2 linked regions of the Struthio camelus genome follow. The protein of the gene in region 2 purifies or fractionates together with the protein of the main gene of each other region. This does not show direct contact. Links are inferred from orthologs where the notes say so. Each region holds a gene or a part of one and is shown on either strand. Other genes may lie near its edges. The genes, in order: FMR1 and TDRD3.

The links.
Region 1: the proteins of TDRD3 (region 2) and FMR1 purify together in Homo sapiens (affinity purification with mass spectrometry; 4 studies listed by BioGRID and IntAct, with this or other methods). This does not show direct contact. The link is inferred for Struthio camelus from reciprocal best matches to the Homo sapiens genes TDRD3 and FMR1.

What each region holds. Positions count from the first base shown.
Region 1 is NC_090952.1:14,542,455-14,558,882, forward strand, and holds the start of FMR1 (fragile X messenger ribonucleoprotein 1), read right to left. Parts: upstream 7,378-16,428; 5' UTR 7,024-7,377; coding exon 6,973-7,023; intron 1-6,972.
Region 2 is NC_090942.1:185,217,430-185,233,739, forward strand, and holds the start of TDRD3 (tudor domain-containing protein 3), read right to left. Parts: upstream 7,002-16,310; 5' UTR 6,864-7,001; coding exon 6,823-6,863; intron 1-6,822. UniProt on the Homo sapiens protein: Scaffolding protein that specifically recognizes and binds dimethylarginine-containing proteins. Plays a role in the regulation of translation of target mRNAs by binding Arg/Gly-rich motifs (GAR) in dimethylarginine-containing proteins.

The sequences.
Region 1 (16,428 bases), on a different chromosome or scaffold from region 2:
CCGTAAGTGAAATGCACTGCAGCCTTTCTTTGGTTTTCTTCAAGAGGATGGACAGGTGTTGTGCTAGGTTTTACATGCAAACATGAAGCACAGCATAGCTCTAAGATTTAACAGTCATGGGAAGGCTTTTCCCCTACTTTTTTTATGCTACTCAGTTAAACAACCTTCGATCAACCTTCAGCTTCATACCTTAACTTCTCCACATACAAAACAGCGAGACTAATACTCCATTTAAATGACTTTAGGATTTACTAAAGAAAATATTTTCTCATAGCCTCAGATGACAAGAGGTCATGGAGCAATCAGGGATGATTTTTTTTTTTTAAACAGCTTTCCAAACTACTGAAACAGATACAAACATTGGAAAAGTGCTGAAAAAATATTTATTGATATGCAGTACCTATATTCCACTAACATTAATCCGTAAATATACAGCATATCCTTGCAAGGTATAGGTAGTTAAAAGCCCATGAACAAGATAAGACTATAAAAATTTGTCCTACCAATGGAGATAACTCTTGGTAGAAGAAAAAAAACTTCTCAATAAATTGAAAATAATTTTGCTAATACTTTTGAAGAAAAGTTAGTGAACTGTGGAACATTTAATTCTACTCCCATTTCAAGATTCCCAGAAGATGTACAAGAACTTAAGAATTTCTGTTATGCAAGTCTAAATGGTAAAAAACCAAATTCTTCATATATTTTTCCTTTAGGAAGTATTCCCAAGTATTTTCTGAATTACAGCAATATCTAAAACAAGAGCAGTACCTGATGACCAATACAGAGCACAAAGAATTGATTCTACTAAAATTAAACCGCACATGCGCACATGTATCATTACTCAGAGACATTCAGTACTAGAAAGAAGTTCAATGCAAGTTAATAATCTGAAAATAACTAACGCTACCTTGAAGAGAAGTCACAGTAAAGTCACAACTACAATATCAAAATATGTTACAGTTTGCTCATCTCTCACAATACTGTAAGAATAAGTAAAAAGTTACTGAAAAGTTTATCATCATCATAAAGAAGTTCCTTTACAGACCATTAATATATTTAAAACATTCTCTAATAGCACATAGTTACATATTTTGAAATTCCAAGATATTCCTTCCAAGCAAATTACAAGCATAGGTGATATTTTTCATGACATGATACAAAACAGATCTAAAACCACATCTCAGCATTTCTGTACTGATATCTACATGATCCTATTTATTTTTTAAAAGGCCTATTGATATAAAAAGGCAATAGAACTCCCAGACAATCATTCTGGATACTGAACATGGATCTAATGTTTTATACTGCTGTTTCTTCTGCAAGAAAATTCCAGAACAGGATATGCATTTGACAGACACTGTGGTAGCCCTGACTCATTTTGCAACATTACACACATCACCTTCAAAGGTTCTTCCCACATTTCTTCCAATGTTTGTCATGTGCAGCTCTGAAGCACCTATTCTTATAGATGGAGCAGAAATGGATGCCTTTAAAACCTGAAAAATACTGTAATCACTATCAAGAGTATTTGGCATGACTCCTTCACACCACAGAATGGAAAAGGACAGAATTTAGTATTATTAGTAACACTTAGGTAGGCAAAAGCTGAGGTTATTTTATGAAGCAAATCCAACAGAGATGACATAAAGAGCACTAACTAGCCTTAAGGAAAACAGGTAGAAGTAACACAAAACAATGTCCTCAAAAACCTGCTGATTTCCATTATTTAATTTTCGCAGATTCATAATACAACAACAATCACCACTTCTACTACGAAAGATACTTGGAGAAGAAGCTCCTGTATGGTGATGAACAAGACAAAAGACAATAAGTAGCACTCCTTAAAAATTATGAGAAATAACAGAAAGAGATTAGGGAGCAGCAAAGAGTGATACTGTATCTTATATCCAGATCTGACAACTCTTAAGATAGGATTGTAACCTCCCTAAAAAAAAAATGTTTTGCCTATAATCATAGCACTTTCATTAAAGGTATTTTGAGCAGAGTCCTAGTGCCTACAGCAATATAAGTAGAGAGCAGTATTAATGCTAACACCTTCCATTAACAAACAAACCAGATGATATCACAAACCAACGTAAGTTATCAAGCTGAAGACTATCCTGAGGACTTTAAACAGTCTAGTGCTTATGTCATCTGGAAAAAGTAAAATTTGGACACATAGCTAATTGGAAGAATATTGAACTATGGGCAATTCTTTTCTCTGACCTGAAGAAACCTGAAGCAGAAACACTAAAGATAACTGTTGACCGTACACAGGTAACATCAACACAGATGGCTGAAAATAATCAAACTGACACCATTTCCTTAGTTTACATTTAGTCAATATATACAGCAGTTCTGCCTACCTCCGCCATGAGATTTATGCTTACAAAACAAATTACCAAACAAATATATTAATAATTTAAATACTTGGTTGACTAGTCACAGCTATCCATAGAAAGTAATTTTTTTTTTTTCATTCTGCTCTCTTGTGACACAGGGAAAAAAAAGATTCTATTAGTTTTCCTAGTCTATATTATCGTGAAAAAAAAAGGGACGATATACCTTAATCATATCAGTTTTTACAGTCTGTATTGTGGTGTCATGTCAGTTTCCCTCAACTGAAAGTATTTCAACAAATCTGTAGTAGCCAGTGCTTTATAGTCCAAATATATTCAGTTCTCTGTGTACTTGTAAAAAATTTTTTTAATACTTTTGAACGCATGCAGATAGCCAAAATTAATCACAATTATTTCCTGATATTCTGTCACACATGTGCAAGTGTACAAAACAATGCTAAAAAGCTGACAGACCTTTAACGCTGTAAGCCCAATTCACTGAAACATAGCTTGTCCAGTTCCAGATGTTAGTAAAGGTAGAGAAAGAGTAGTGATTTTGCACAAAGTACTAAGGGAATGGTATTTGTAAGAATTTATCAGTTTGGGGGGAAATAAAGTGTACAAGCAAGGTGTGAAAACTGAAACATAAAGATGCATAGATGTGGGTTTGAAGAGTATGCCCAAGAAAGCACAGAACACTGGCTATCATGAACAGATATGTGAAAAGCATAAAAAAGATTTAACAAGGAAGAAGAAAAAAATAACTTGAGAAACCTTTTTAAAAAAATAATAATAGCAGTGACTGATATGGAATGCAACAGGAGGACAAGGGAACAGCTGTTACTAGTGAGACATTAAGTAATAAAGAACTAAGAAAGATGAATGATTTTGTCAATTATAACTTAAATGGAAGAAAGTGAGGTTTCTAAAAAGAAACAATGGCAAAATACTGAAACTGCTCAGATTGGAGGAAAAAAAGGATGTGGAAGAGTTTAACAAGGTTGTAGAGCAAAAAGTGGCAATATTTGATTACAGACAATATACAGATGTTGAATTAAAATTTATTGCAAAAGTATGTGACTCAAACAGGATGCTTTCTCTCTTTAGCAAATGATAGGTGAGATAATCACTCTCAAACATGAAAGGCATCCACCATGTCCACCTTTCACAGGGAAATGTCTAAACCTAGTCCTGGAAAAATTAGACAGAGAACTGTCTATTAGGCTTCTGAGAATGAGATAAGAATTTACTAAACCTATACTGACTAACAGAAAACGTGGACAGGTATGCCCTAATAGCTCAGATATTCAAGATTTAGTTTCCTGAGACATCCCAAAAGACAGATCCCTCCCCTTAGGATTCACGGTTCTGACCGCTTGTTGGACTGTTTTTTCTAAAAGGAAAAAAAAAAACATGGGATTTAATCTTTTATTTCAAAGGATCCTGGGCCAGGCAAAAACATTATCAAGTCATGACAAAGCATCTGTAGGCACTGGATTATTGATTACCTCAGGGTTGCTCTGAATCATGCTCATTGACTGCGCTACACTTTCCATGGAATAATTCATAATAAGCAAAGAGAAAAAATTCATGAAAATAAAAAGCATTCATCAAGTGGTACTCTAATTCCATTAAGAACTAGTCTGCACTACAGTGATCAAAGCAACACACTCTGGAATTCTTTGAAACATAGTGCACCTGACCAGCATGAAATATGAATTCTCAAATCTCCCTCATCCTGAATGCATATTCAAACTAATGAGATATCAAAATTATCTTCTATGTTTTTTGTGGAACGAGACCTCTTTGGCTGTGTCTTCAGAAGGCTTTCTGGATCAAGGCCCACGGAGAAATGCCTGCTTTATGACTCTCAGTAGGGCTTATGGGACAATTAGGCATCGCTTCTGAACTTTCAGGATTAAGGTGCTGCTGGGTACATTCAAAAATGAAACTGCTTAGGGACCTGAACTTATAGAGGTCCTCAAAGACAGCTACAGAAGAGGTATGAAAACTTAAAGTGGCAATTAGTTGCCTATTCACTTAGAACCTTCATGAATCTAGCGTCATAGTCCTCCTCTCCATGTCTTTGAATCAGTATATAGGTGTTTTTAAAATACATTTACACGTTCTAATGAAAAACTCCAGAATGACTCAAAGCCAAAAAAGTTTCTATCAGTAAACCATGACATGGGGTAAAAAATTTTTCGTTTCTGATTTGTTTGTAGTGTTATAGTTGTAAAGCAATTCTGAGGAACCTGCTTAAAGAAACTTTTAAATGAAAAAATAAAATCATCTTGCAATTAAAACCTGTACTTGACACCGTAACATAGTTCACTGGGACAACCAATTCATTCTACAAATCAAATCTTCCGTCTGCAAGATGGGAATAAAACTCACAAGACGATATGTAGATTAATTACTTCATAACAGACTGACACTCAGACACTATGACAAAGAGAAAAATTTTAAATAAAAACAAAATCAAGTAATTCAGGTAAGATGAAAAATACTGATTTTTATTAAACATTATTCTATGACTTTTTTTTTTCTTTTTTTGTTTAAAACATAAATGCAGAAGCATTGGTTGTTTTTTTTTTTTTTTTAAAAAAAGTGTGATGCTCCATCTAGAGAGGTAGTGCAGCTGAATACCAGTAAGTCTGTGTGTCCCTTTGGTTAATTTAACCAAGTCTCCTTGGTTAAATTTATTACCTTAAAAATTAAAAAAAGACCAAAAACACCCACCTATGTTTGAATTTCTGTAAGTTAAAAGGCAAGCATAACATGCAGCCTGGAAGCAATTTTTGTGTTATAACTTGGATGCACTAAATCATGTTTAGTAAATAATCTCCCATTACTATATACGCTCATCTGAAATTGTCATCTAAACCACAACCAGAAAGGGGCTATGGTATGGATGATGGGGAACAGGACACCATATCATCAAAATTGAATGTGATAAAAAAAAAAAAAAAAAAACAACCCCCCCAACACACACACCAACCACCCTCTACACACCCTACAGCAGCTTTCAGTTCTCCCAGGTGTCTTTAATAACACTAGAGAATGTATAATATCATTTTCATCATCATCTATTTTGCATGGTGTGTGTAAATACTGGCATTAATTTGATAAAAGTCTCATTAAAATTATTTCCTTAGCAACACATTTATACCTTCTTTTCCTTTCAGAGCAAATACCATATACTTAAAAACTTAAAATTGATTTTTAAAAGTGTTAAATAATTTAATTGCAGGAAGCTATATACAAATTTTGCCTACAACACTGCAAACCCACAAGATGCTTTATTTATCATACTTATAAACTTGTTTCGTGCACACTTCTCTTATTTTGAAAGCAAGATAAAAAGATATTATCACATATATATTTTAAAGTAAACTTTTAAGACCTCTTTTATTTCAAAAGCACTCAAGGCTGTCAGAACTGTTTTATTTGGGTACCAACCTGCCCTACCACACTAACATCAGACTGAAATTCTACCTGCTCCTTCATTGATAACATAAATATTGGATGTTGCACAATAACTAGGCCCATTTTTTTTTAAAGTACTGGGAACATTTAAACAATAGCAAACTTGCACAAAGGGATCCATGACTTGTTTTTGTTTGTTTAATGTTCTGATGATAGGTGTAGAACCCCACTGCCTTCAATGATAGTAGGCCCTAACCCACTATGTTCAAATTGTATTTTTCTGTAAATAGAGTAAAACCAAAGTATACCCTATTCATATGCTGATTAATAAACCTCAACTCATGCAAAGCAACAGCAATACTTCACAGCATTAATAAAGATATTAAATACTCAGATGTGTTCAAGGCTCAGTGATGGCTTTATTCAGCACTAGCACAAGGGCTTGGAAACAAACATGGAACACTATTAGGTAGTTTCAGTAAGAAGTACATTTCATAATTAAATGTATTTAGAAACTCAGCACATGTATTCTTGGTCAAGCAATGCTTTCTTTAATGTCAGTAGGCAGTATCCCCAGACGTGGCATTAAAAGCAACAATTCGCAACAGCATTTCATCATGAAGGTGTATTTAACAAGCTGCCCTCCTGCCCTCCCTCCCCCGACTTAAACGCTCTCCCCTAGCAGGGCAGCTCTCCTGGAAACCCGGAGAGCGAAGGAGACTTTCCTTAAGTAGCGACGAAAGCTGAGGATTTAACAATTAATGCCCCATCTCCAGCTCTGATCCTCGCTTCAGCGCCAAGGAAAGGAAGGCCCAGGGCCCTCCTCGCCGCCTCCAACACACCGGCAGCGCGACGGCCTCCCCTTCCCACAATAGGGGGAAGGCCCAAGGCCTCCTCAGCGCCGGGGGCCTCTCTCGCCTTCCCTCCCTCCTCTCCTCATCAGGCCTCGCGCTCCCCCAGCCTGTGGGCCGCGCAGCTCCCCGCTCCCCCTACCCACAGGCCCGGCTCCCTCTCATCGGACGCGCAGAGGGACTCGCCGAGGCCTCCACCCCTACCCCACTCTTCCTCCTCCTCTTCTTCCTGCCCCAGGGCCCCCGCTTTCCCTCAGAGCGGGGAGGAGCCGCCACCGCCGCCGCCTCCTCCTGTCCCAGGCCCCACTCCCTCCCCTGAGGCCCAGCCCGACCCGGCCGCGAGCGCCCGGTACCTTGTAGAAGGCCCCGTTGGAGCCCCGCACCTCCACCACCAGCTCCTCCATGTTGTGCCGCGGCGGCTCGGTGCGGGAGACCCAGGCCCGGCGCCTCCTCCCTTCCCTTTCTCTCGCTCTCGGCGCAGGAGGGGGAAGAGGAGGAGGTGGATGTGTGCCGGGGAGGGGGAGGGGAGGGGGAACCTCAGTTCACGCCGTGCCCGAGGGGGGTGGGGCCGCGCGAGGGGCGGAGGGCGAGGCTGCCGGCGAGCGGCTGGGGGGGACGCCGCGGGGACGCTCCTCGCCTCCGCTCCGCGCCCGCGCCCGCCCGGAAATGAAAGCGAAACGGTCACCGCCGGGCGGCGCGGGGGGCGGGGGGGGGAGCCTGGGGGCGCCCGCTCCGAATGTAAACAGTAACCCTGCGTCACGTGACGGGCCCGGGCGGGGCGGGCAACTGGCTGCAGCCCGCGCGCCCCGCTCGCGGACCGCCTAACGGCCAGGCCGCGCGCGCGCCGGCTCGACCCGACCCGACCCGACCCGACCCGTCCCGCGCCCCGCCGCGCCCCTCCCGCGCGCAGCCGCAACGGCGAGGGGGCAACCTAACCCGGCAGTTGCGAGTCACATCCCGCCTCCCCCTTGCCCTGGCGCGCCTGACTGACGGCCCCGTCGGCCAATGATACTGCGCCCTGGACATCGCGTCCCAGCCAATCAGAAGCGGGTGGGAGCGCGCGGCCCGTTTTGCGAGGCCCTTATGACTGGGGGGGGGGGGGGAAGCTGGGGCAGAACCGTTGGTTCAAAGCGGCTCCCGGCGGCTGGGGGGGAGTGCTGTGAGGAGAGAGGCGGGAGGAGGAGCGCGGCTAGGCCTGGGGGGCGATGGGGCCTCCTGAGTGGAGGAAGGGGGGCTGCATAGGGGCTCTTGGGAGCGATGCCGTTGTGGGGCCTGCAGGGGGGGAGTGAGGGTGGTGGAGCTGAGGGTGTGGGGGCAGCCGGGGATGGGTGAAGGGGAGGAGAGAGCCTGTGGGGCCAGGGCTCGAGTCCCATGGGTGCTCTGCGGGAGATGGCCGCCAAGGCAGGCAGAGGTAGGCGAGGCTGTAAACTGGCCTGTGGGTCACCTCTGCTCCCCTTACAAGTAGCCTCTGTTGTAATACTCCTGGTACTACACTCTTGATTACACACTGAGGACTAAAATCTGAACCTTTGTGACATGTGTTGTAATACAAATACTGTGCTTCCCAATGGTCTGACTTGGGGGTATGCTGAAGACCTACATGCCTCATAGAGGTGTACTGTAAAGAGACCAGTAGGCTTGGAAAGTTTCTGTGCTATTCACTCTACTTCACCCTGGGAGAGTTAAGCTTTGTTCAACAAACTCTCAGTTTGCAAAAAAACAAGTCTGCTATATCATATATGCTATTAATTTATTTCTATGTAAAGACTTACTGCATTTTTGCATGTTGAAGTGGTCGCTTCCCACGGACCTTTAATCGCTTTTTAGATCTTCTGGCAGTTAGCAAAATGTAACAGTTTGCATATTCACTGTAGAACTTGATCGTTGAACAAACTTAAAAGAACCACCGTAACTGTGATGCAGTATTCACAGTTGGAAGTGCATTGGAAGTAAGGCTGTTTGTTCGTTTTTCATTAGACCTGCACAAACATTAACAATTCTTCTGATGTATTTTTTGTATGAGTTACAAATAATAAACAAAAATGGTTCTGCTGTTACCCACTCCACCAAAAATCACAACTGCAATATATTATCCGAGCTGTAATTTCTCTGAAAAAATGTGTGATGCTCGTGTTATGTAAGTAATGGGGTAAAATCCTGTACCTCCTGATGATTTTTCAAAACTCTTGAATCAGTAAACCTATGATTTCATACCTCCTCTTGATTTTTAGTTTCAAACCTTGCCAAATCTGTGTTTCTCTGTGTGCTGCATGGCAAGCTGTTCTGTACTCTTACACTTATGCTAAAAAGGGTATACAATATTTCTTGCAAATTGTAATAACTTTTCATTTTTTCCCCTGTGAGGGATTTAAATTGCCTAATTCTTGCATACTCTGTGTTCACCTGCTTATTGTGATGTTTGTTGTATGCATATATAGTATTGAAGTCGAAATTCAATAGTGTGATTGCTAGGCAGTGTATCTTGAAAAGGAGTTTGATTCTCTTTTCAGCAGATTTGCATACTCTTTTCAGCAAATTCTTGAGGACAATGAAGGATCAATTCAATCTAATGACTTAGCTTGACAGCCTGCTGTGCTCATTAAAGAGGCTGTCCCAGGACTGACTTGCTTGCCGTTGGCAGAGCGTCCAGGAGAACTGAAAGAGAAGTGAAAAAAGAGGGAGCAATGACACAAGAGTTGTGTATAAATTAAAGCATCTGAGAGATCAGATCTTATGGAGTCCCCATCATGAAGAAATTTAGGTGAGACGCACCTCTTCTGTCTGACTTGTTCATGTTAGGAGTACTTTTGTTGACAAAGAGTACTTTGTTTTAATAAGGTTGTTTTGAAGGATGATAACTCTTCTAAGCTGAACAACAAATCAGATCACAGCAGGAATTGAAAGAATGGTGATTCTCATCTCCAATGATCTGTATGGGAAAAACTGACAGCAACAAAGGAAGATTTCACTTAAGAATTACTGTAAGGACCTTGAAGTAAGTCAGATAACAAAAGAGGTAACTTTGTTCCTCTTAAGGTGTTCCTCTTAAGGCGGTGCCTTACCGCCTCCCCTCCGCCAACAATCAAGTAAAGGATTAAAGAAATATTTATATTAAATAACCACCTCATAGTTTTGTTTAGTCTTAGGTTAAACTGGATTTGTAAAAACTCATATTAATTATAATTGCAAAGCTGAAGATTGTTCTTCTCCCAAAACTCCACTTAAATCAAATTGGTACTGTTGACTGTTGCCTTAATTTCTCATACCTTTGTAGTAGTTCAGTTTTAATTGATTACTTTGGTGTCTAAACATTATTGCCCAAAGTATTCCCATTTTTGTTACGAGTGACAACTATAATGCTATTAGAGTTACTTTCTTCAAGTTTCGCAGCACAGCTTACTGTGATTATAGGAAAAAACACACCTACCTCACTTTTTTCCTAGGTCTTCCTGTAGATTCATTGACAATGTTATATTGATTATACTTGTTTCTCATGTTCTTCACATATAGGAAAAGTAGAAGCCGTCTAAAGCATCAGAAAAGGAGATGTCACTGGAACCATATAAATGGTTCAGGTCAAAATAACCCAGCAATCAGCCGAGAGAGTTGATGCCTAACTCTAAAACAAAGCTGTCTGAAGATTTTTGGCATTCATTACTGGTTGTAATTATTCTCTTGTTAATAAATTAGGTTGCTGTCATGCGGGCAGATTATTTCTAAGCAGATAGAATAGAAGGGTGTCTGATTTAGCTCTGACTTCCAGTGATGATTTCACTACTTTCCCTAAGCTAAGAACTGCTGTGCTGTATAATCTCCCCTAATGCTTGGCTTAAATTTTCCTTGCTGTTTCTTAAATTCAACATTTTTCACTTTATTCTGACTAGTGAATGTTTTAATCCTTGCCTACTTGATGAAACAGATTGGCAGATTTTCAGAGATCTCTTTATTTTTTTCTGCTGATTGACTCTTAACCTTTCCTCTTATTTTCCAAATTACTGTTTTTACTGTGTTACTTTGAACTGCCTCCAAACAATACCCCTTCTGACATGTGATGTTCACAAATTTAATAAGTTTTTATGTAGACTTAATGTAAACTAGATCCTTTTAAATATGGCTATTTCAAAACCAGTAACATTGTAAAAATAGATCTCAGTAATTCTGTAAAAGTCTTTTCGTCTGAACAGTAAAATGTTATTTCATTCAAATGTTAGACTTTATTTATTCTATGTAACAGTGGTATTCATTTACACTACACCGTGGCCTTGGAATTATAATTTAACTAAAATGCATTTTTAATTTCCAGAATTCTCTCATAGTTCCCAATAGTCTCAATTCACCTGTTTCTGGTCTTGGCTTTGGTCTTACAGATGCTCAGTGCTTTTATTTCCTATTCAGATATATACTACTTCGTGTTTGCAGGTTGATCTACTAGCTGGAAAGTATTTCAGGCGCACTGCATTTGGAATACCTGTTTTCAACATCAGAAAAATTCAAGAAAATCTTAGACTTTTATTCACTACTGCCTCCACATGAGGGCTTTCTTAAATATTTGTAGGAAATGTAAGAAAAATCTTTCCTCCTTTAGGAAAGTTGAAGTGCAGAAAACTAAGGTAAATGGCACTTCTCAGAGCATATCACAGTCGTATAGTTAACAGTGATTGTCATTCATGTCCTTACTCATCGGTGCAGGTTTAGCTACTACTGTTTCCCTAGGATTTACCTTAAGTGAACCAGTTCTTTGTCTATTTATCTTTACCATGAAATGCTGACTTTACTTAGATACATTGAAGAGTTAAGCATTTAAAATCTAGTCATCGACACTGGCCCTTCAGAACAACACCAACAATCGAGCATCAAGGGTTTGCTCTAGATATGTGAAAAACCCTTCATATAGATCAAGGGGTAAGAACGACAGGAATGACTTGAGTATTTTCTCCAGCCAGTGCTATTTATCTTAAGGCTTGGTGAAGGATTCCAAATAAGACTTAACTCATGAAACATTATTTTTAGAATGGTCATCTGGTAACTACCAAAGTCTCTTAAGGGCATTTTATGCCGTTCTCCTTATTTACACACTCATTTTGAGCTGCAGCTCAGTCCTTCTGAGGTTCATAGAGCTTTTAACTCAGCCTTTTAAATTCTTTTCTGCTGATTTTCCTTGTGCATCGCTTCAGACAGTAATCTCTCCAGGATGAGTCCTTTCCCCTTACAGAATGTGATACGGGTGACACTCAGACTTCGCCTGAAATTCATTCCTGTATTTCCATGTAAGCCAGACCGTCGCAATATATGTTTCTTATTTCTGAAACCATATAGGACACTGGGAAAAAATAATTTGTGTATGTTTGAGATACATAGGGTTGTGAGTTATTTCAGTGAGACCAAATGGTTCAGTCTGTTGTCCTCTCAGTCTGCAGCTGTAACTAGATGTTTCAAAGGTTGTTGGTTTAAAGTGTAGTCTCTGTAAAGTGCCTGTACCTGTAATGTTACAGTCAATAGGTGAGCAATTGGAAGAAGCCGTTATAATCAATGGAGATATAAAGATGCAAAACTTCTTAGACATGGTTGCTTTATGATTAATCAATAATAGCTGAAGGTTGAGTGTTACCAAAGTATTGCAGTTTTATTAGCCTATCCTTAACTGAACTAACACCCAGAAATGACACATGTCCAAATGAGGGTGTAGAACAGCAGGTAGTCCCAGAATTTGTAAAAAGAAGCTGAACTAAAACAGACAAGATTTGTGTTACCATATGTATACAAGGAATCAGATTATGCTGAGTTCATTCAGTTCTTTACACATGCAATGTGAACTTTATGTGGAAATCCTGACAAAATTCTATAAAAGGTAGTGTTCATGTGGAAAAGTAGTAAAAGCATAATCATTAAAAAAGACAAATGTTGTGAAAATTAACAAATAGAATGAAAAATCCTTCCTCACGTTTCCTTCTTTCTTTATCAGTCATTGTTCCACCCCTTCCTTATACAAATTTAATTATAGTTATTCGTGTAGTAAATTAGGAATAGATATGCATCCAAGGCTCATTTTGCCGCAGATTCTACTATAGTTTAGATATATCTTTCCAGTAGTGGTTTTCAGTTTCTAGAGTATACTATATCTTCCTGACCTGAATACGTAAGGACACCTGAGGGATTTAAGCCTACTTTGCACCTGCAGTTCAAAAGCTTCCCAGTTTCAGGAAGACGAGTCGAAGAAGTAAATACTAGAATGTAAGCTTCAGAAGGTTATTAAATTCAGTAATTTATGAAAATATGATCTTCTACAATACATATTTTGAAAAGGCTGCATATAAACGATCAAGTTCTAGCTCAGTTGTCATCCAAAAAACAACTGTCATGCTATTCAGTTCAGCTGTGAAATAATTGTCTAAGTGGGTGATCTCCTTATTTGCTTCATATTATGTTTTCTGTTAGAATAATGGGTTTTATTTAAAATTTATAGTAGTTTCTGTATTCTTCTAGAACAATTTCTGTATATCCTGTTGTTGGTTCACAACTGTCAGTAACATTTTCTTTTTTCTTTTTTAAAATTAATGGTGAGTATGGAAGCATGCATACAGAGTTTTGCTGTTTAATGATTTGGTTTCATCTCCCGTTCATGAGTCTCTATCTATTCCTCTTGTAACCCTACAAATACATTTATTAGTGCATTAAGCCCACATGTTATGTCTTCTGCAGAAGTATATCAGGGCTATACACAGTCCATGTTCATAGGCAACACTCGCATTCGTATGTAAAACTGCAGATGTAAATTCTTCAGCTTTTTTTTTTATTAATCATTAATCAAACAGTATTTGAATGAAAGTGAACGGATTCCCTGCATTATACAGGTCTTGCAACTGAATGGATGAATACAGTAAAAATTACTAGTAAACATGGAGTATAGCTGCTTATAATGTAATTCAAGATAAATGTTCTTCTCTTTTCATGGTGTGGGACAGCATTCATAACTGTAAACATACGGATGCTTCTCTGCAACATGTATGATGGATAGCTGTGTGTGGATAGTGTATGCTAATCTGTATACTAGTCCTCGTTTCAGCAAACTGAACTATAGTAAGAACGTGCAGCACTTACGTAATTCTTTATGTCTCTAGAAACACTACAAACCTTAATTAATCTCTGATCCCCATGAATTAGGCATTAATGTTGCCATTCAGAAAAGAGAGGATTGATGCATTAAAAGTTAACTCACCAAGAATAACTTTGGTTCATAGAATTAAGAATCCTATCCAAAGGTTCTGGAGCCAAAATGGCAGAGATTTATTTCACCATCTTGGGAGTAACATGAATTTCAGTGTCTGTAAAGGGAATCTTAGCTAACTACTCAGAGGAAGAGGCCTACATGCTAGGCATGTACATTTAGTTAGACAAATTCCACATTACAAGTCTTTTTGAAGTTTTTGGCCAGCTCCTGTATACATACTAAGGGGCAGTATTCATTAACAACAGTTCCAAAGATGGAACTCATGAGCTTATATGGTCTAAATTTCTATGCAATCTTGTACATGAAGTTATTCATACAATAAATAGGGATTACCTGTGTATTTCGCATTTAATTCTATAATACAGAATGCAAGCATATTTTTCTAGTACCCATTAACCCTAGATTAAAATTCATGTAAACTGTTCTTACTCCTTGACCCCAAACCATCCCAGATAAGTAAAGCAATCAAAGAAAAAGTAATTGCAGTAACCAATTTCTGACCATGCCATTTACCCCTTTCAAAAAAATTGAAATGCTGGAGTACCTAATTTCTCAACAAACGACTTAGAGTTCTTATTCTTGTTACAAGATGCTAATTTTTCAGATGGTTTTAGTAAAGAAAAAAGGGGGACATTTATTTAGAACACCACTATTACAATAAACTGTTACACTTTCATTTTACACTGAAATAAATATTACAGCTAATTAGAATTATTATGTCCTGCAGTATGATTTTGTTTTGGAGAATGAATATATGGGAACTTCTTCATTACACTCATATCTGTTCTTGCAGGTTTTTAGAATCGTTGCAATTGATTTCACTGTGATTGAAAGTTAGTGGGGTTTGCCGATTTTACTTTTCCTAACATGGCAGAATGTTTCTTTGTATAAGAATTGAAATAAAAAAAGTATTCTCATGGATTTCATTGTGATTATTTTGTGTTATTTTTAGGTGATTGTTTTGTTTGATGGAATACAATTTATTTGTGAAGATGAATCTAATGCACTGCATAAAAATCAAATAGAAATACCGTGTTTATCAGAGTGAAATTTTTTGACTTTTCCAACTAGATACCTAGAAAGATTTGGGGCTCTGTTCAGAGAATCAAGGAAAAAGTTTGTGCCCATCGTCTCTACTAACGTTCACAGTCTTGATAGAGAGTACTGGAGACCATTGTTAAAGTCTGTTCTCTGCTTCATCTAGAACAAGGAAGCACAACAAGATCTCCGGTTTCCTAAAACAGTGTATTTCTTACTGCTGTGCTATAGAATGTTTAGGCTTCCTGTCTTTTAACACATTTAAATATGCAGGAACTAGAAAACGGGTGCTCTACCTTCAAAGTGAGAGTGCTACCATTAAGCCAGAAGAGAGGTGCTTCTATTCTTTTTAGCCCTTTGCTTATACAAATGTGCCTGGAAATAGAACTCCATTTTAGTTTTGACAGTGTGAGATCAGAGGACAGATAGGGATATCCTGGATAATCAATTCTTGTTCCCCCCAAACAATCAAAACCAGCTCTGATATAAGAATTAAATCAAGAAGGTTCCACAAAAGCTCTGCTTTCTGCATGGTCAGTTGTAGATTATCCTCCATCTTATTGTAAGTGAAAGACTACAAAAGCTTCAAAAAAATACAATGTGCCATGTGAAGAGACCAAGAGAAAGGCAAATATTTTGTTTCCCTCTTCCCCACCAAATAACTTTCCACAAACCCAAAACAAGCAACAGGAAAAAAAGATTTTTCCAGAACTGTGAAAAAAATGGAGCTTGACCAGCGTTATGTTCGAATCACATAGATTTGAAATTCATGATGCAAATATTTCACTTCCATAAATGCCCTTAAGAGTGGCAGATGTTTATAGATAAATAAAAGTATTGCTGTTGGAATAAAATGTCCTGTGGTAAACCAATACTGAATTGAAAAGGTAGTGATTTTAGCAGGGCGTTCATTCTGTTGTGCATAAAAGCAGGATGTTTCAGTACTGAAGCTAGTACAGAGATGTATGAAGATTCATTGTTCCTGCTCTTGAACACACTGCAATTTTGACGAAGATTAATCTGGATAAAGCACGTGACTCTTCCTAGTCTGTAGCAGAACTCCCAGAGATGTCAGGCTGCAATAGGTCTATATTTCAAAGGCTCTATATGGTAATATGTTTATATGGCCTTAACATTGTTTGTATTGACTCTGGTGGTGAGTACTATGGAAGAACTATATAAAATGTCATCATCCTGACGTACTGTAATATTTAGCTCCCCGTTACAAGCACATATAACCTGAAAGTTTTTTGTTTTTCCCTTAAATTGTTACATAAACCAATGCTGTAGTCTTGTACAGTAGTAGCAGGTGAATAATGTGTGAAAAAAGTAAAGAGCAAAGGAAGCAATCAAACTGTAATAATGGTCTTTTAGTCCTGCTTTCTATTTTATTTCCAGCAATAGCTAACATTTTATCCTTTACTAGTTTCAAAAACAGTCTGATGTATCATTTGTATGCTTATACCCTGGACATGTTTGGTATAGCTATACATTTACCATCCTTTTTTTATGTGGTTTTCAAAAATCACTTAATATTAACTTG
Region 2 (16,310 bases):
CAAGCAGAGCCAAAGCCTGTCTTGAGAGTTTCACAGAATGGTTTCAGAGTGCACAATCTCTGCAAAGAGCTCTCTCCTGATACCTCCTTCACCTATATCAAATATCTAGTCCAGAATCCTCAGATTTCCACTTTCTATAAGGTATGCATTGTCTGATTAATAATTTAAATCTCCAGGAACATTAAGTTTAAACGACCTCTGCTTTTACTTTTGTTCACATCATAAGATACTAACACCTAGGAAAAAGCAGACTTCTTAAACACATTGCTGCTTTTAACTCACTCTTCCATTGGAAGTTCATCTGGCTTTACTGGTTTAAAAAAAAAAAAAAAAAAAAAAAGTCAAGCATGCTGCCATTCCATTCTGCCCAAGTCTTTCTCTCAAATCTGTACCAAGATCACATATTTTAATTTTACCTTTACAACATCATAGGAGGGAAGAGGTAAATTTGCCCAAAGTGGTCAATTACAATTGTGTAACAAGCTCCATCCATTCACCTCATTTAGATGATGATATCAATTAGTTTATCAATAGACAAATCAACATAAAATATTACAAAATTCAGAAGGTATCTTCAACTCAGAGATAACGTACACTCTTTAATATAAGGTCAAAGAGCATGTGGATAAAGAGGCAGAATGAAGGAAAGTACTACCTCATTGAGTTAAATATAGTAAATAACACCTGCCTTAATAAACCATTTGCATCTCAAAAAGAAGGCAAAGCCTATGAGTTACAAGGCTAAGTAAATAACTTTTGAAAGGAAACTAAGTAACTTCAAAAAGCAAACTAGCAACAGAAAGTTTATGTGTTGCTGTAGAATGCATTTATCAAAGAGAATCAACCTGAGACACACCATATGATGAAAAGCAAAGGTGGATGTTAAGAGAAGGTCTGCAATGATTTAAAGAACTCTCAACTTTCAGCTTTAAAACTGTTTTAAGTAGACTACATATTTTGTATTCATTTCCTGAGTAAAGAGTTCACAGTAGCAACCTTCTTCATTCAAAGTCAGAACAGTTCTATGAACAAAGGAAACCTTAAACCCGTCTTTCAGCTTCCTAGCACATTACTCAGAGAAACCAGGAGGTAAAGGTTGTGTCCCCAAGAAAGATTCATAAACTGATCCGAGAGCTGGCATAACAAGGCAAGAGAAGGAGAGGCCTTTCCAGCAACTAATAAAAACCCAGAGGCTGAGATGTAGTAAGGCAACTGAAACTACACTCAAGACCGAGTCCATAGGGGTCTGTCACACTTGCTTCTTCTTTTCTCTTTGTCCCATTACTTAAAAGTCCCGTTCCTTTCTCTCCAAGTTCCCACTCCCGCTCCTCCCCCATTCCAATCAAGAGGAGAAAATTCTTCCCTCAGTAAAACTATAGTGTGAAGATAAAGACCTATAACAAAAATAAGAACAGAAAGGGTGGATGTGTTTATCTGATCTTGGACCTTCCTCCAAGAGTTGGGTAGAAGCAGGTGACATGGGCAAAGAATGCAAGATATGGGCAAATATAGAGAGAAATGCTTGGAATGAGTCCTAGCTTCTAGCAATTTTAGAGCTAGCAGCTGCATTCCACCACAAAGTTCAGTATTCAGTGCATCTATCCCTACCCGATTTTGTCTAATTACTATTTTAACCCATTTATATTTTTCTGCTCCATAATATTATGTGGCAATTGAGTTCCACAATTTAATTACACGTCGCTGGAACAGCTACTTAAGTTTTCATCAGGTAGCGTGTTTAATTCAATTCACTGGCTGGCCTAATTCTTGTACTAAGAAAAACAGCTATCCTTGCTTTCTTTTCATCATTTCTACATGATCTATGGTTTTATAGACCTCTTTTACCCCTCCCCTTATACTTCTGTTTTCCAAACTAACGACTTTCATCCTCCCCAGTAAAGATGTCCACACCTCCGATCCAATGTCTCTCTTCTTTTACACTGTCTATGAAACCCTTGCTGTATTGGGACGATTCCACTAGTGCACACTGTTCCAAGATTTTAACACGCTATTGATACACATAAAGAACAAAATAATTTGTTAGGCTATTATGTCTTTCTGAATAATTCCTAACAGCTCTGTGATCACTGTCCTTTTTTGAGTAGCATTATATTTAGAGTTCATCATTGTTTATACTGGTTTGCATTATTTTCCCTCCATGTGCCTCACTGGCATTCATCAAAACTGAACTATGCTTGCCATCTGAAACCAGTAGGCAATGGTATGATAAGATTCTTCTTCAATTATAAAGTCAGTTTACATTTTACTAACCTGAACATATCAGTAAACTGCTATGGTGCCACAATACTGTCATTCCTTAAGAAATTCATTCAATATGAAAAAGCCTTAGAACCCAGCAGAAATCCACTGGTAACTTTTTTCCATCATGAAGCAACCACTTATTTTCTTTCTCATCTTTTAACCAAGTATACACAGGATAACCTTCCATCCTCCTCAATAAAGCTTCTTTAAGAAACTTTGATCAAGGTCCTTGGTCAAATATTTTTCGAAAATGCAAGAGTACTATAATAATCAAATCTTAGCTACGTGGTCACTGGCCCCTTCAAACAATTCTGATGGCTGATTTCCCTCTGCACAAGTCATGGAAGTTTGCCATCTCCTCCATTACATTTATTCAAGGGACTGATAATACCCTTAAAGTAGTTATCAATTTTACCTGAACTGTCTGACTTACTGACCTTTACTTTTACAGATAATACAAAATTAAAACAGTATCATATTAGCTATCTTCCATTTCTCTCTTACCAATAATAGCTTAAATTAATAGATTAAAATACTGTTAGCAAGAATGCAAGAAAAGCTCTACTGAGACAGGCTAATGGTTCATCTAGCCCAGTGTTCTGCCTCCGACAGCAGAGAGACTCTTTTGGAACAGCTTAAGAGCCCAGTCACTTCCTGCAGTCTGCTCCTCTCGCACTCACGCAAGAACCTCACAACCAGCAGATTAGGTTTATTAGAGGACACATCACTTTCTATTCCCTTTAAAAATCTGTTTATAGGCTTCCTGTATATAAAATAGCGCAATTCCTTCTTAGCCTGCTGATAAAATTTGCCTCCAAAACCTATGTGGCAACAAATGCTGCACCTTTACCATCATTGTGTAGAAATATTTTGTTTCACACTTTGAAACTAGTATGCTACTAGCTTAGTAAGTGCTTCCTGGTTCTAGCGTGGCAGAATTCAGTGAGCAACAATGTTGCAGGATTTGGTGAATAATAGTTTTATAGTCCTCTAACCTACCGCTCCCCGATTAAACAAACCTCACTAAATCTTCCACCTTTGGCTTTCTCTCCTGCAGTTCAAGGAGTTCCAAACATGTCAGTCTCCCAGAAGAGAGCTACTCTATCATAGCTCCCTCATCAGCCCCTTCCGTCTCCTTAATTATTTCAGTTATCCTTCTCTGTAACTTTTTAACTATTAAGTACATTCATATCCTAGTTTCTTTGAAATCCTGGGAAGATTCCATCTGATTCCACTAATTTGCTACTTAGTAACTTCTTTAAAACAAACAAAAAAAAAAATCTGTATTAGTTTCTCAAACTTATTTCCCTAAACAGAAGGGACAATATTGGACCTTCTCAGCTCCTCCAGAGAGAAAATGGTAAATATACACGGATATATATGTACACACACGCACACAACAAAGAAACACTGTTCTAACAATCCATCACTCCTGATCCAGCAAGAATGCAAATCAATCACGCCAGACAGCGTGGGATACACCTTGATAAAAGAACGCAACTACGCAGCCCTTGGTTTTCTACTGTAACTTAGTGATTTTACAGTACCAACTAAATGCCATAAACCATATTGGTAGGTCATTGCAGGAGTGTCATAAATCTCAAAACAGAGATGCACCTCTCCTGTGAATCACTGGGTTATCCCTGTATCTAGGGAGCATTTGTTATCCAGGCTGGGCTGGATATCCCCATAAATGTTTGTTATCCCCATAAATGTTTGCTAATTAAAAAAGAGAGAGTTAATACACTTCCATTCCAAGACAGAATATTTTTTCACTACAAAGTAATACAAACACACTCCATTTAATTTCTAAAAGTGCAGCCAATATCACATTTGGATATACAACATCTAAGGTACAGTGTACGAAAAGAACTAGCCTCAAAAAATGTGTGCTTTTTAAGACTTTTTAAGACAGCTGTCTTAAAAAGTCTGCAAGGACATCTCCTCCTCTTCAGGAAAACTACAGTTCTGTTCACAAACTACAGGGGTCTTCTACCTGTTTTCATGAAATACCTCCCCCCCCCCAAAAAAAAAAAAAAACCTAGGTTCTCAGAATTAGCTGTCACTGTTAAATTTACTATGTAGGGAACTCTGGTAAGTTCTTAAAAATGTAACTAATATACTGAAACAAATTGAAAAAGCAAACAATACAAATTTCTACACAAACTTATAACAGATGACTAACAACAGGTGTTTGAAAAAAGTATATTATATTGCATTAACTATACTATGTCACTGCTTTACCTGGAAAAAAAACTTTATATTCAGAGATGCAATAAAAACTAATTGCAAAAATCCACATAAATGAGTGTCTATAGTAACTTTTCTTATCTTTTATAAGAAAAAAATATATGTATCTTCTATCTACAAGACTTACTGTAATTGAATTAAAAGTGACAGCATCTCACAAGCTAGCAGATTTGCAACTATGAAACAATAGTTTCTTATTCTGCTCTGGTGCTTCAGTTGTTTTTGTGGGGATAGACTATGATGTATAAACTCAGCTTCAGTTTTTGCATTAAGAAACATACCATCTGACATTGAGGAGAAACCAACAATGGAAAGAAATTGGTACTGAACATGATTTACCTGCAAGCATAGATCAGAAACATACATTAAGTAACACAACTGAAGGCTTACTTCCACATGTATTATAGACTTTAGGATCTGCTACTAATACTAAGAGGACAGCAAAGTCACAAACATAACCGCAAAAGCAAAACAGTTAAAAGCATACATGTCTAGATTACTAAAGTACCTGAACACTTGTCTAAAGAATATTTCTGATGCATTATTTCTTTTTCCCACTCCACCTCACTTTCCTCAGAAGTGCAAGTGCCCATTTCCCTTTCCTTTCTGCTACCCTTCCCAACGAAACTAGGTCAAGGCATAATTCCAACAGATCTAGTAATCAGCCCACTACTCGCCTGATCATCTTTCAGTCACTGTGTTTTTGGCTCACACCCTGCAACTTTGTAAGAATAATGAGTGATTAATAGCCATTAACAATATACATCCCCAAAAGAGAAAGGCAAACAGTGCAGAATTACATAGACCATTTCAGATGTGCCTCGTATACGTACTACCTAAAAGCAGTTTAACAATGGCATTCATTAAACCAGCAAAGTAGCAACATCTACTAATTGAAAGTTGTGCTATAAAATTTTGAATATATAAAAGGAAACATGAAAAGCATAAGTTTGTAAGTTATTTTACGGAAAGCCTTCTCCTTTTTGGAGAGTAAGGAGTATGGAAAATGGAATAAGCTAGTCTTATGAAAATGAACATAAGTAAGTAACTGATTGTTTCCATCCACCCGCAGCCAGTAATCACTGGATTACACTGAACTTTATATACCATTAAAGCAACAGTATTTTTGAAATGTATGATACAGTTATCCAAGAAACAGACCTAAAGACCTTATTTGTTTTCAATCCGATTAGTATTATCACAAAACTATTCTGTGAAAATTAGCTAAAGTAAAATTGTAACAGCAGAAAGGTAACAGATTAGCATATTAACAGAAGTTCCTCCATATGCTTTGTTTTAATCCAAATTTGAAAGAAGCCATTTCAAGTGTATGACCATAAAAGCAACAACTAAAATATGATGCTTGTTTTAATCTTTTATGTAAGCCATAAATGAAAGCACTATCCAGTAAAACCGCCAAATTAAACTAAAAGCACAGAAATAAAACTATCCCCAAACACCATTGGAAATAATGATACTTCTCACAACTTAAGAGGTTTTCTCAACACAATCAAAATAAATTGTTTTGTGACTTGGTCCTTAGCAATGAGCTTTTGTTTTGGGGGAAAAGAATGGCAAGCTGTTGAGGAGAAGCAGCAAAGTGTTGATCAATAAGGGAATTATATCGATCAATAAATCGTCCAGTTCTGGTCAACAAGCCAAAACACCTCTAGGCTAGCAAATAACATGGACAGTTTGCACTAGATATTTGAAAACAACTACCCCAAACTTAAGCGTTTTGTTCCCAAAGAGATAAGGTATCCAACGATTAGCCTCGACTAGAAGGGATGAGGACTTGGATTCAAGCCTCAAGTGCGCATTTAACCGGCTCTGACTCCACTTGCTCCAACTTATCTTCTTTACCCAAAGGGTCCCAGCCAGCACGGCCCAATTAAAAAAAACCACAGCACTGCCAAGAGGCTCCGGGCCTGCTCGCCTCTGAAGCGGAGCCCAGGGGAAGGCAGCTGGCGGCGGCGCGCTGCAGCTCAGCGCCAGAGCCGGCGCCACCAGCCCAGCTGCGCCCGCACCGCCGGGCCCTGGGAGGCCGCGCGAGAGACAAGCCTGGGCAGGGGCATAATGTCACCCGGCCCCTTTCTCGGCGCTTCCTGAAAACAAGCATGCGCTTACAAAACTAAATTTAAAAAATGAAGAAAAGGAAAAAAAGGAAAAACCCAGACTCCCTCCCCCCTCCAAATCCCACACCGCTGCTGGTAGGGCCGCCCCGGCATGGCGGCAGGCCGCGCCGAGGCCTAGCGCAACCGGGCGCCCGGGCCGGGCCGGGTCGGGTCGGGCCGCGGCGCCGCCACTTACCAGCCCGCCTCCGAGAGCGCGGCCCGCGTCCCGTCGGCCATGGCGCCTCCTGCCGCCGCTCCGCACCAAGCTCAGCGCCGCCGGGCCGCGGGGAGGGGGGGCCGGCTCACCGGCGGTGGCGGCGGCAGCTGCGGGGAAGCGCGGGCGCTGTGGGGGCCGCTCGTTCCCCCGCCCCGCGGCCTCTGCGGGCGCGGGGCCCGGCCAGCTCTCCGGCCGGGGCGGTCGAGGGACACAAGGAGGGAGGGAGGGAGACGACAGCGGCGGCGGCGCACACGGAGACGAACAAAGCCCGCGACCGGCGCCAGCGCCGCTCCCCGCCCCTGCGCGGCGACTCGCCCGCCCACCCGCCATGAAGCCGCTGCCGCCATGACGGAGACGGGAAAGCGCCAGGGCCCGAACTGGCGCCGCGGGTCCTGCCTGCGGCCTGGCTCCTCTTGAGCGGGAAGCCTTTGTTTTAAGCTTATTCCGTCTATCAGTAAATAGGGGTAATGCCACTCAGGAAAAAAAAAAAAAAAAACAGGCAAAGCCAAAAGTCTTCTCGATATCCTCAGGGTGATGAGAACTGGGCTTTTAGAGCGACGGACGTGACTTTTCGGAAGGGAGCATGTTCCTGTGGTTTCTTTTAAGTGCTTTCCTTTTTAAGTTTCTTTCTGTGCTTCTTTTAAACATCTAGTTTTCTGAACTGCCTTTTAATGGGAATTACGTTTTAAAAGAACGGAGCTGCTGTAGTATCCCGTTCCTTCCAGTAACAATAGCAGGGGATGGGAGCGCTGCTTTCCCTTTTGCTACCTGCGCCAGCGGTCAAAGACCTTACCGGAGCTGAGTGGCAGTACATCACAAATTAAGAAAGTCCCAGCCCTAGTCCCGGTGCTCAGGATAATCAGGATAACTGAGGTGCTCATGACAGTGACTTTCCAAAAGACACTTAATATTAGCATGTCAACAGCATCCGGAAACTTTTATAACTAATCACTGCCAAATACTAATTTTCTTTTCTGAGTTTCAAAAATCTAGCTACCTGCTCCATTCATCTATGTTAAGGTGCGTTTTTCTCCATGGGATCATTCTCATCCCTGGAATGTTTTCATTTTCATGCAGCATCTTCAAGCCAAAGCTTGCTGTTTTTCTCTTCCGATCTACCTGAAAACCCGTCTTTAGTGTATTGTCTAGAAGTCACCCACGGCAGAAGTTATACGCATTGTAAGCCGTCACCTCTGCTGTGCTGGTCAACACTAGTCACTTTTTTACTGCGTCCCGCTCATTCTTCCTGGGTTGTATTCTCTTTCCTGTTGTGCAGATTGTACACTCTAACACAAAGGTTTTATCAGTAGCAAATAATGTATCCTGAAAGGCTGCTGTTTTTCTAAAAGTTAGGCATCTTTTCCAAATCATTTAATAATTATATTTTTAAAAAAAGAAGAAAATCATATAGAAGAAGAAAACAATGCCTCTATTGTTCAGACAGATCTGAGCAACTTCTTACTGTACATATATTTTACCCCTTCAAACAGTTCTGTTCTGGAGTCTCAACAAAAGGAATATACTCTAACCCTAAAATAATAAATTTGCAGTTAAAATATAGGACTGTCAGATACTATCTCAGCCAGCAAAATCTCAAAACAATATCACGCTGAGTGGAGTTTTAATCCCCATGTTGGTCATAGGATAGAGTTGAGTAGAGGGAACATAATTAATTTGGAAACTGCAGCACCCTTCGATGCAAGGACATAAGAAAGCAATCGCCAAAGCCATCTGCATGGAATTCAGCAAACACAGGCAGCCCTGTAGCGTATGGATTGAACATCCAGGTGATTATTCAGATTTTCACAGGTTGTGCAGTCACATAATCACACACTCTAGTTGAGTGTGAGCTTCCATATCGGTAATGTCAAGGAGACCTAAAATAAGAGTCCAGATATATGCTTACTATATCACTATACTGAAGAAACTCTTACATTAGTGCAGAGGAACGCCCCAAGGTCAAACAGAAGAGTTACTTTGAAATAGTAGTTGCTGAAGCACTCCCTTGATTTTGTTGCAGACTCATAGTAGCAGCTGCGGACACAGAAAGCACCAGCAGATAGGTGGAACTGTACTGCCAATTCAGTCACTTGTTAGGAGAAAGAAATAGAAATAAAAGTACTTCTCATTCAGAATATCACCTGGCTGCACATTAGATTATCGAGGAAACACTGTAAACATTACTGTAACTGGAAAAGGAGTGCCTGTAGAGCCAATTAGTAAAGAATGGAGAGTTACGTAGGAGAAGACGATAACGCAAATTGCTCACTTTATGCATTACCTCAAGTTAGTTTAAGATATGGAAGCCTTTGCTCACTTAAATCTTCATCAAAATCACCAGGCAATTATACTGACAATTACTCCAGCATATGGCTATCTATTGCACCTCATGGCACAAAATACCATCTGTAAAGAAAATGTAGTAACAAATATTGTCCTTTTTAAAGGTCTGTAGGCTTCTTTTCTGACAAGTTCATTGTATACAAGCTGAGATACACATATGTTATGTGTAAATATATACACACTTTTGTACTTGAGAAGTCCCCATTACTGCATATTCTCTTGGTTAGCAGAGGGCACTGCCCAGTCTTAGCTTCTGTTTCTAGCTTGCTGATAGCCCTGCTGCAACATGAGACAAATAATTAGGTCCACTGTAAAACAGAAGGTGATACAACACCTGCCACACAGTCATAGAATTGCAAATTGGAGGAAAGAGACCCTCTGTACCAACAGTTAATGAGAAAACATTCTTAGACCCGATCTCTGCATGCACCACCTTTAGAATAAATTACATTTTCTGCTGAAACTAAGGAATGTCAGAGTACTTAGGACCACACAGGGAATCAAGCTAGACTCCAGCACACCTGTAAAGGTCTCTAGCCTACATGGCTTTCTCTGAAAAATACATGTCATTCAAGATGAATGTTTGCATCACTCTCCACAAAATTTGCACAGACTCTTTGTGTCCAAACCATAATCTAGTTTGACATATTTCACGGATGTTGAGGAGCACCTATTTCTCTTTCCAAGTGTCTACTTCAAAATGTTGGCTATTGACAAGTGTTTGGTTAAAAAACAAGGTCTGTGAGGAACAACTAACTGTTAAAATTACACATTTAACTTCAGGGTAATTTGTGTGATACAAAATCTCTTTTTACTGTACCTCTGAAAGAGGTCAATATCAGAGGAAAGAGTAATTTTTGGCCATTGTAATGGCTTGCACAAATGCACCCACATGCATGACTCATTGACAGTCCTACTTAAAAATGCTCAATATGTAAATCAGCTATGTTAAACTTTAAGGAATGCTTCTGGTTAGTTATTCTCAAAACAAAGCAGAAAAGTGCCAGGGTGCAGCAAGGGCTGGCTGCTTCTCAAAGGAAGGGGCACTGAGAGCAGAGGACAACTGCAAGGCAAGCATGAGCATGGACCTCACCAGCAAGGAACAAGGGTGCAGAGCAGCAAGTCTAGATCAGGGTCAGGGCCAGGGACAGTGGTCGGGTCAGGCACAGACCGGCAATCGTCAACAAGCCCGCAGCAACAAGGCCAGCCCAAGGCCAAACTAGGAGCCAAGCTGGTGGGTCCGGTTCAGGACCAGGCGTGCAGGGGTTCAATACTGAGCGTAGGCGGACCCACTGCACAGCCACAATGTGGCTCAGGCGGGAGCCAGCCATGCAGTCCCAACTGGAAAGCGGCTCCCAAGTGAAAGGGGGGCAGCTCTCGCTTCCAGCTTTCCTGATAGCAGTGCTCATCAGTGATGGAGCAGACCTTGGACTCAGCTGTTAACTCCTTCACTTAACCAACCAGACTCCGAGAAGGGGGATGCACTTCAAGCCCTATCAACAGGACAGTTTCTGCTGCTATATTAATGTGTGAACAGTTCTGTTGCAACATATTAATTTATCCATGATTTGTCTCTGAAGACAGGTTTCTTCATGTTTCAAACAAAAACATGCTAAATGCTAACAATGTTCTGAATCATCCACACACAGGATATAAGACTTAACAAATTACTCTGAAGCATCTTTTTCAAAGGGTATCGGCTTTCAGAGAAAACTGGAGAAATAACTGTAATGATCTTTTCCTTCAAAAAAATAACATGTGCCTAGTACTATATTATCTTCAACATGTTATGCATGAAGCTATTTATGTTTTAATAAGACCTTTTTACACAATAAAATTGTCTCTTTAAATTTTGGTTCTATTAGGTTTCACTTTTGCATATAATATATATGCTTGAGGTATTACATGGCTATTTAGAAAAACAGGGAGGGAAAGGTCGCTTAATATGTCATCTTAGGTACTCTAACTGCAAATATGCAACAACGTCAAAGTAAGTAATAAGGACCCCTCACCTCACAGAATCACAGAATGGTTGAGGTTGGAAGGGACCTCTGGAGATCATCTAGTCCAACCTCCCTCCTCAAGCAGGGACCTCTAGAGCATATTTCTCAGGATCACATCCAGACGGGTTTTGAATATCTCCAGGGAAGGAGACTCCACAACCTCTCTGGGCAACCTGCTCCAGTGCTCTTTCACCCTCACAGGAAAAACTTTTTTGCTCAGGTTCAGATGGAACTTCCTGTGGTGCATTTTATGCCCATTGCCTCTTGTCCTGTTGCTGGGCACCACGGAGAAGAGACTGGCCTCATCCTCTTGACACGCCCCCTTCAGATATTGTACACATTGATGAGATCGCCTCTCAGTCTTCTCTTCTCCAGGCTGAACAGGCCCAGCTCTTGCAGCCTTTCTTCATAGGACAGATGCTCCAGCCCTCTAATCATCTTGGTAGCCCTCCACTGGACTCTCCCCAGTAGCGCCATGTCTCTCCTGTCCTGGGGAGCCCAGAATTGGACACAGGACTCCAGGTGAGGCCTCAGCAGGGCTGAGGAGAGGGGCAGCATCACCTCCCTCCACCTGCTGCCAACACTCTGCCCAAGGCACCCCACGATACCCTTGGCCTTCTTGGCCACAAGGCCACATTGCTGCCTCCTGCTCAACTTGGTGTCCACCAGCACTGCCGGGGCCTTCTCGGCAGAGCTGCTTTCCAGCAGGTCAGCCCCCAGCCTGTACTGGTGCATGGGGTGATTCCTCCCCAGGTGCAGGACCCTGCACTTGCCTTGGTTGAACTTCATGAGGAGATGGAGATTTCATGGAGAGGAATCCACCCAGCCTGTCCAGGTCCCTCTGAATGGCAGCACAGTCTTCTGGTATGTCAGCCACTGCTCTCAGTTTTGAATCATCAGCAGACTTCCTGAGGGTGCCCTCTGTCCCTTCCTCCAGGTCATCAATGAATACGTTGAACAAGACTGGACCCAGGACTGACCCCTGGGGGACACCGCTAGCTACAGGCCTCCACCTAGACTCTGCACTACTGACCACAACCCTCTGAGCTCTGCCATCCAGCCAGTTCTCAATCCACCTCACTGCCCACTCATCTAGCCCACACTTCCTGAGCTTACCTAGGAGGATGTGATGGGAGACAGTGTCCAAAGCCTTGCTGAGGTCCGGGTAGACAACATCCACTGCTCTGCCCTCATCTACCCAGCCAGTCATTTCATCAGATTGGTCAAGCATGATTTCCCTTTGGGGAATCCATGCTGACTACTCCTGATCACCTTCTTGTCCTCCAGATGCTTAGTGATGACCTCCAGGAGGAGCTGCTCCATCACCTTTCCCGGGATGGAGGTGAGGCTGACAGGCCTGGAGTTTCCTGGCTCCTCCTTCTTGCCCTTTTTGAAGACTGGGGTGACACTGGCTTTCTTCCAGGCCTCAGGCACTTCTCCTGATCTCCAGGACCTTTCCAAGATGATGGAGAGTGGCCTAGCGATGACATCCGCCAGCTCCCTCAACACTCGTGGATGTACCCCGTCGGGGCCCATGGATTTGTGGATGTCAGGTTTGGACAAAAGATCTCTCACCTGATCCTCCTCCACCAAGGGAGAGTCTTCCTTTCTCCAGACTTCCTCTCTTGTCTCCAAGGTCTGGAATTCCTGAGGACTGGCCTTAGCAGTGAAGACTGAAGCAAAGGTGGCATTCAATGACTCTGCCTTCTCTATATCCTTTGTCACCAGGGCACCCGCCCCATTCAGCAGCGGGCCCACATTTTCCCTCGGCTTCCTTTTGCTACTGATGTATTTGAAGAAGGCCTTCTTGTTGTCCTTGACATCCCTTGCCAGATTTAATTCCAACTGGGCCTTAGCCTTCCTTGTCGCATCCCTGCACGCTCTGACAATGTCCCTGTATTCTTCCCAAGTGGCCTGTCCCCTTTTCCACATTCTGTACACTTCCTTCTTCTGCTGGAGTTTGACCAGGAGTTCCTTGCTCATCCATGCAGGTCTCCTGCTTGCTTTGCTGGACTTCTTCCTCAGAGGGACGCACCGATCTTGAGCCTGGAGGAAGTGACGCTTGAATATGAATCAGCTTTCTTGGACCCCTCTTCCTTCTAGGGCCCTATCCCAGGAGATTCCCCTAAGTAGGTCCCTGAAGAGGCCAAAGTCAGCTCTCCTGAAGCCCAGCGTTGCAATCCTACTCATTGCCCTGCTCCCTCCTCACAGGATCCTGAACTCCACCGTCTCACGGTCACTGCAGCCAAGGCTGCCCTCAACCTTCACATCTCCAACTAGACCTTCTCTGTTTGTTAGTACAAGGTCTAGCAGCGCACCTCTCCTTGTTGGCGTCTCCACCACCTGGGTCAAGAAATTATCATCAGTGCTCTGCAGGAACCTCCTGGACTGTTTGTGCTCTCTTCCCAGCAGATGTCAGGGTGGTGGAAGTCTCCCATGAGAACCAGGGCCTGTGATCGGGAGGCTACTTCCAGCTGTCTGTAGAAGGCCTCATCAACTTCCTCTTCCTGACCAGGTGGCCTGTAGTAAACCCCCACAACAGTGTCACCAGTGTTATCCTGTTACCTCTGCCACACTCTACTTGTACTCCACATATAATTTATACAGTACAACTTATTTTTTCTACTACATTCCAATTATTAACCAACCAAGTTCAAATTATTATTTAATGCTAGTTTAGATTGAATTTTTGTCTTCTAGGCTTTCTTCATTACACTGTTTGAAGACAACACGTTCTCATGCTGAATGCAAGAATCTTACCCTAGACCCGTGGCCCAGAGTAACAGGGTAGTGAAGGTAAAGGGCCTTCACTTCTGTTCACTGAATTTGTCGGTGTGTGCCGTGTTTACAGAGCTGTTTTCAATTGTTTTAATGAGCCAGGAGAAAATATGCCTTTCTATATTATACTTTCTTTCTCTAAATAATCTGCCCTAGGCCATAGCTCAAAGGTGCTTGTGAGTGTATTTAATCTCAAAGGCATTCTAGATGGCCCTGGTAAAAACTGACTGTCTCTCACTGATGGGCAGTGCCTAATTTGATTAGGCTGCAGTCAAAAGGATCATCTTTTTAGTATGTGTTGTTAATGCATTTCAACCAAAATGTGCAGTGCTATTGGTGAATGTTTTCTCTGTTTCATCTGAAGGGAGAGAAAGTGCTCAGCACTGTCTTTCTCTTCGTTCTTTTTCTAACATGAACTTCCCTAAGTTTTAGATGAATAGCAAAGAGTCCAGGATACTACAGCTATTTTGCACCAGGGAGGTGTTTGCTGGCGGTGAGAGGCCTCTTCCTTCTCAAGACAATCAGGAAAGTGTTAATTCTGAAGTCTTAGATATAATACCACACATAAATCCACAAACTACATAGTTGCAGGTGGCATTGCCAGGAGAGAGAACGTCCACTAAGGACAGGACTAAAGTGTTAGTCAAGCTGGCTGCCACTGGTTTTGTCATTTGACTGTCCAGTTTTGGAACTATTTAGTTCCAGGCTCCCCTCTTTCTCCCACAAATCCTTACATCCATGACAGGCCATGGTGATCTTGAAAGTATATTCCACACTGGCATTTTGTCAATCTCAGAAGCAGCATCATTGCTCTCAAAGGACAATTATCCAGTTGTCAGGATAAGGCCTTAAATATAACGGCATGATGATGCTATGGCCAGTTCTATATGTTTGTCAAAATAGGGCCATTTCAGGTCTGAACATTAGCGTGGACGAACCTGCATGGTGGCTGTGGTGGATCACTAAGTACAGCAGGATGTAATCCCACGTAATTATGACCCTGGCGTGCCTCTTCCAGGGGTTAAAAGGAGAGATTGTGCACTATCAGTGATTTTGGCTCAGCTCAACCTGCTCGTCTTCAGGACACTGAGTTGGTAAATAGCCAGGGTGCAGAGGATCAAAAAGCATATGACTTTACAGACTTTCACCTGGCTCAGGTAAACATCCAAGCCCTGAACAACCGTGCCTCACCTCTAACATGATGACCTTTATGAGGCTGATACCTTCACGACTGGAAATAAGTATGCCACTGTCAGGGCTCTAAGTGCACCAGCGGGCTCTGCAATCTCTTCATCCCTCTGAGGGCTCTGGCTGCCTGTGCTCCAGGCCAGCTCTGTTATGGTGCAGCTGTAACCTTGGGTCAGCCTGCTGAGAAAAGAGCTGTGTGAGAAAAAGCTGTGGGAAATCTCATGGAGGCCTCCTGCCCTTTGCTTGGGAGCTGCACTCAAGTTCAGGCCCACACTCTTGCAGTGTGCCTGAGCTACCTTCCTGGTATGTCTGTGTCTTGGCCATGTGCACTGCTGATCCTGACCCATTGACTTGACTTCCTGGCTTGACCTTGAACCTGCCTCATCACTACAGATGTGTCTAGTGATCTGGACTGACCTTGGTCATCATCATCGGACCTGCTGTGCTTTCCTTGCTCAGGTCCTATGGGACTGTGCCCTTGTTAGTGTGGTGACTACCCTACCTGTCTTGCTGTCACCCTTGGCTCCTGGCTGGCCTTCCCTTGTGGGGCAGCCCATGCTTGCTGCTTCCTGCTACCACCCCAGAGTTATGAACATCATCAGTTACATCATGAAATCAGTGTCACACTGGCAGTCAGGTCATGACTGAAGCATGAAATAGATATATATGATGTAACTCCATATGATATGCTCTAGATGTGCTCTAGATATGCTCTAGATGGCTCTGCTTGAGCAGGGGGGTTGGGCTAGATGATCTCCAGAGATTCTTTCCAATCTTGGACATTCTGTGATTCTGTAACTGAACTAAACTCGATAACGGTAGAGATATTGCTGGAGGCCAATGGCTGTCCATAAAGACTCTCAGCATAGCATATAGAAAGAGATGCCCTCACATACAAGGAGAGCAGAGAGAGAATGCCTAATGCTCTCTGCAGATTTCTGCTCTTTTCTTCATGCTTCCCAGCATCTCAAGTTGAATTTGTCGTAGTATGTCTCAGTGAAATTAAGGTGGATACTGATGGACAGTGCTGGGCAGAACTGCTCATGAAGGGTTGCATGGTGAAATCATAGCATATATGTGGACCAGTTGAGTTTGGGAGGGCACTTGAAGTGCTTTTGAGACACGTTAAAGGCTTTGATAAATGTCATGCAAGAG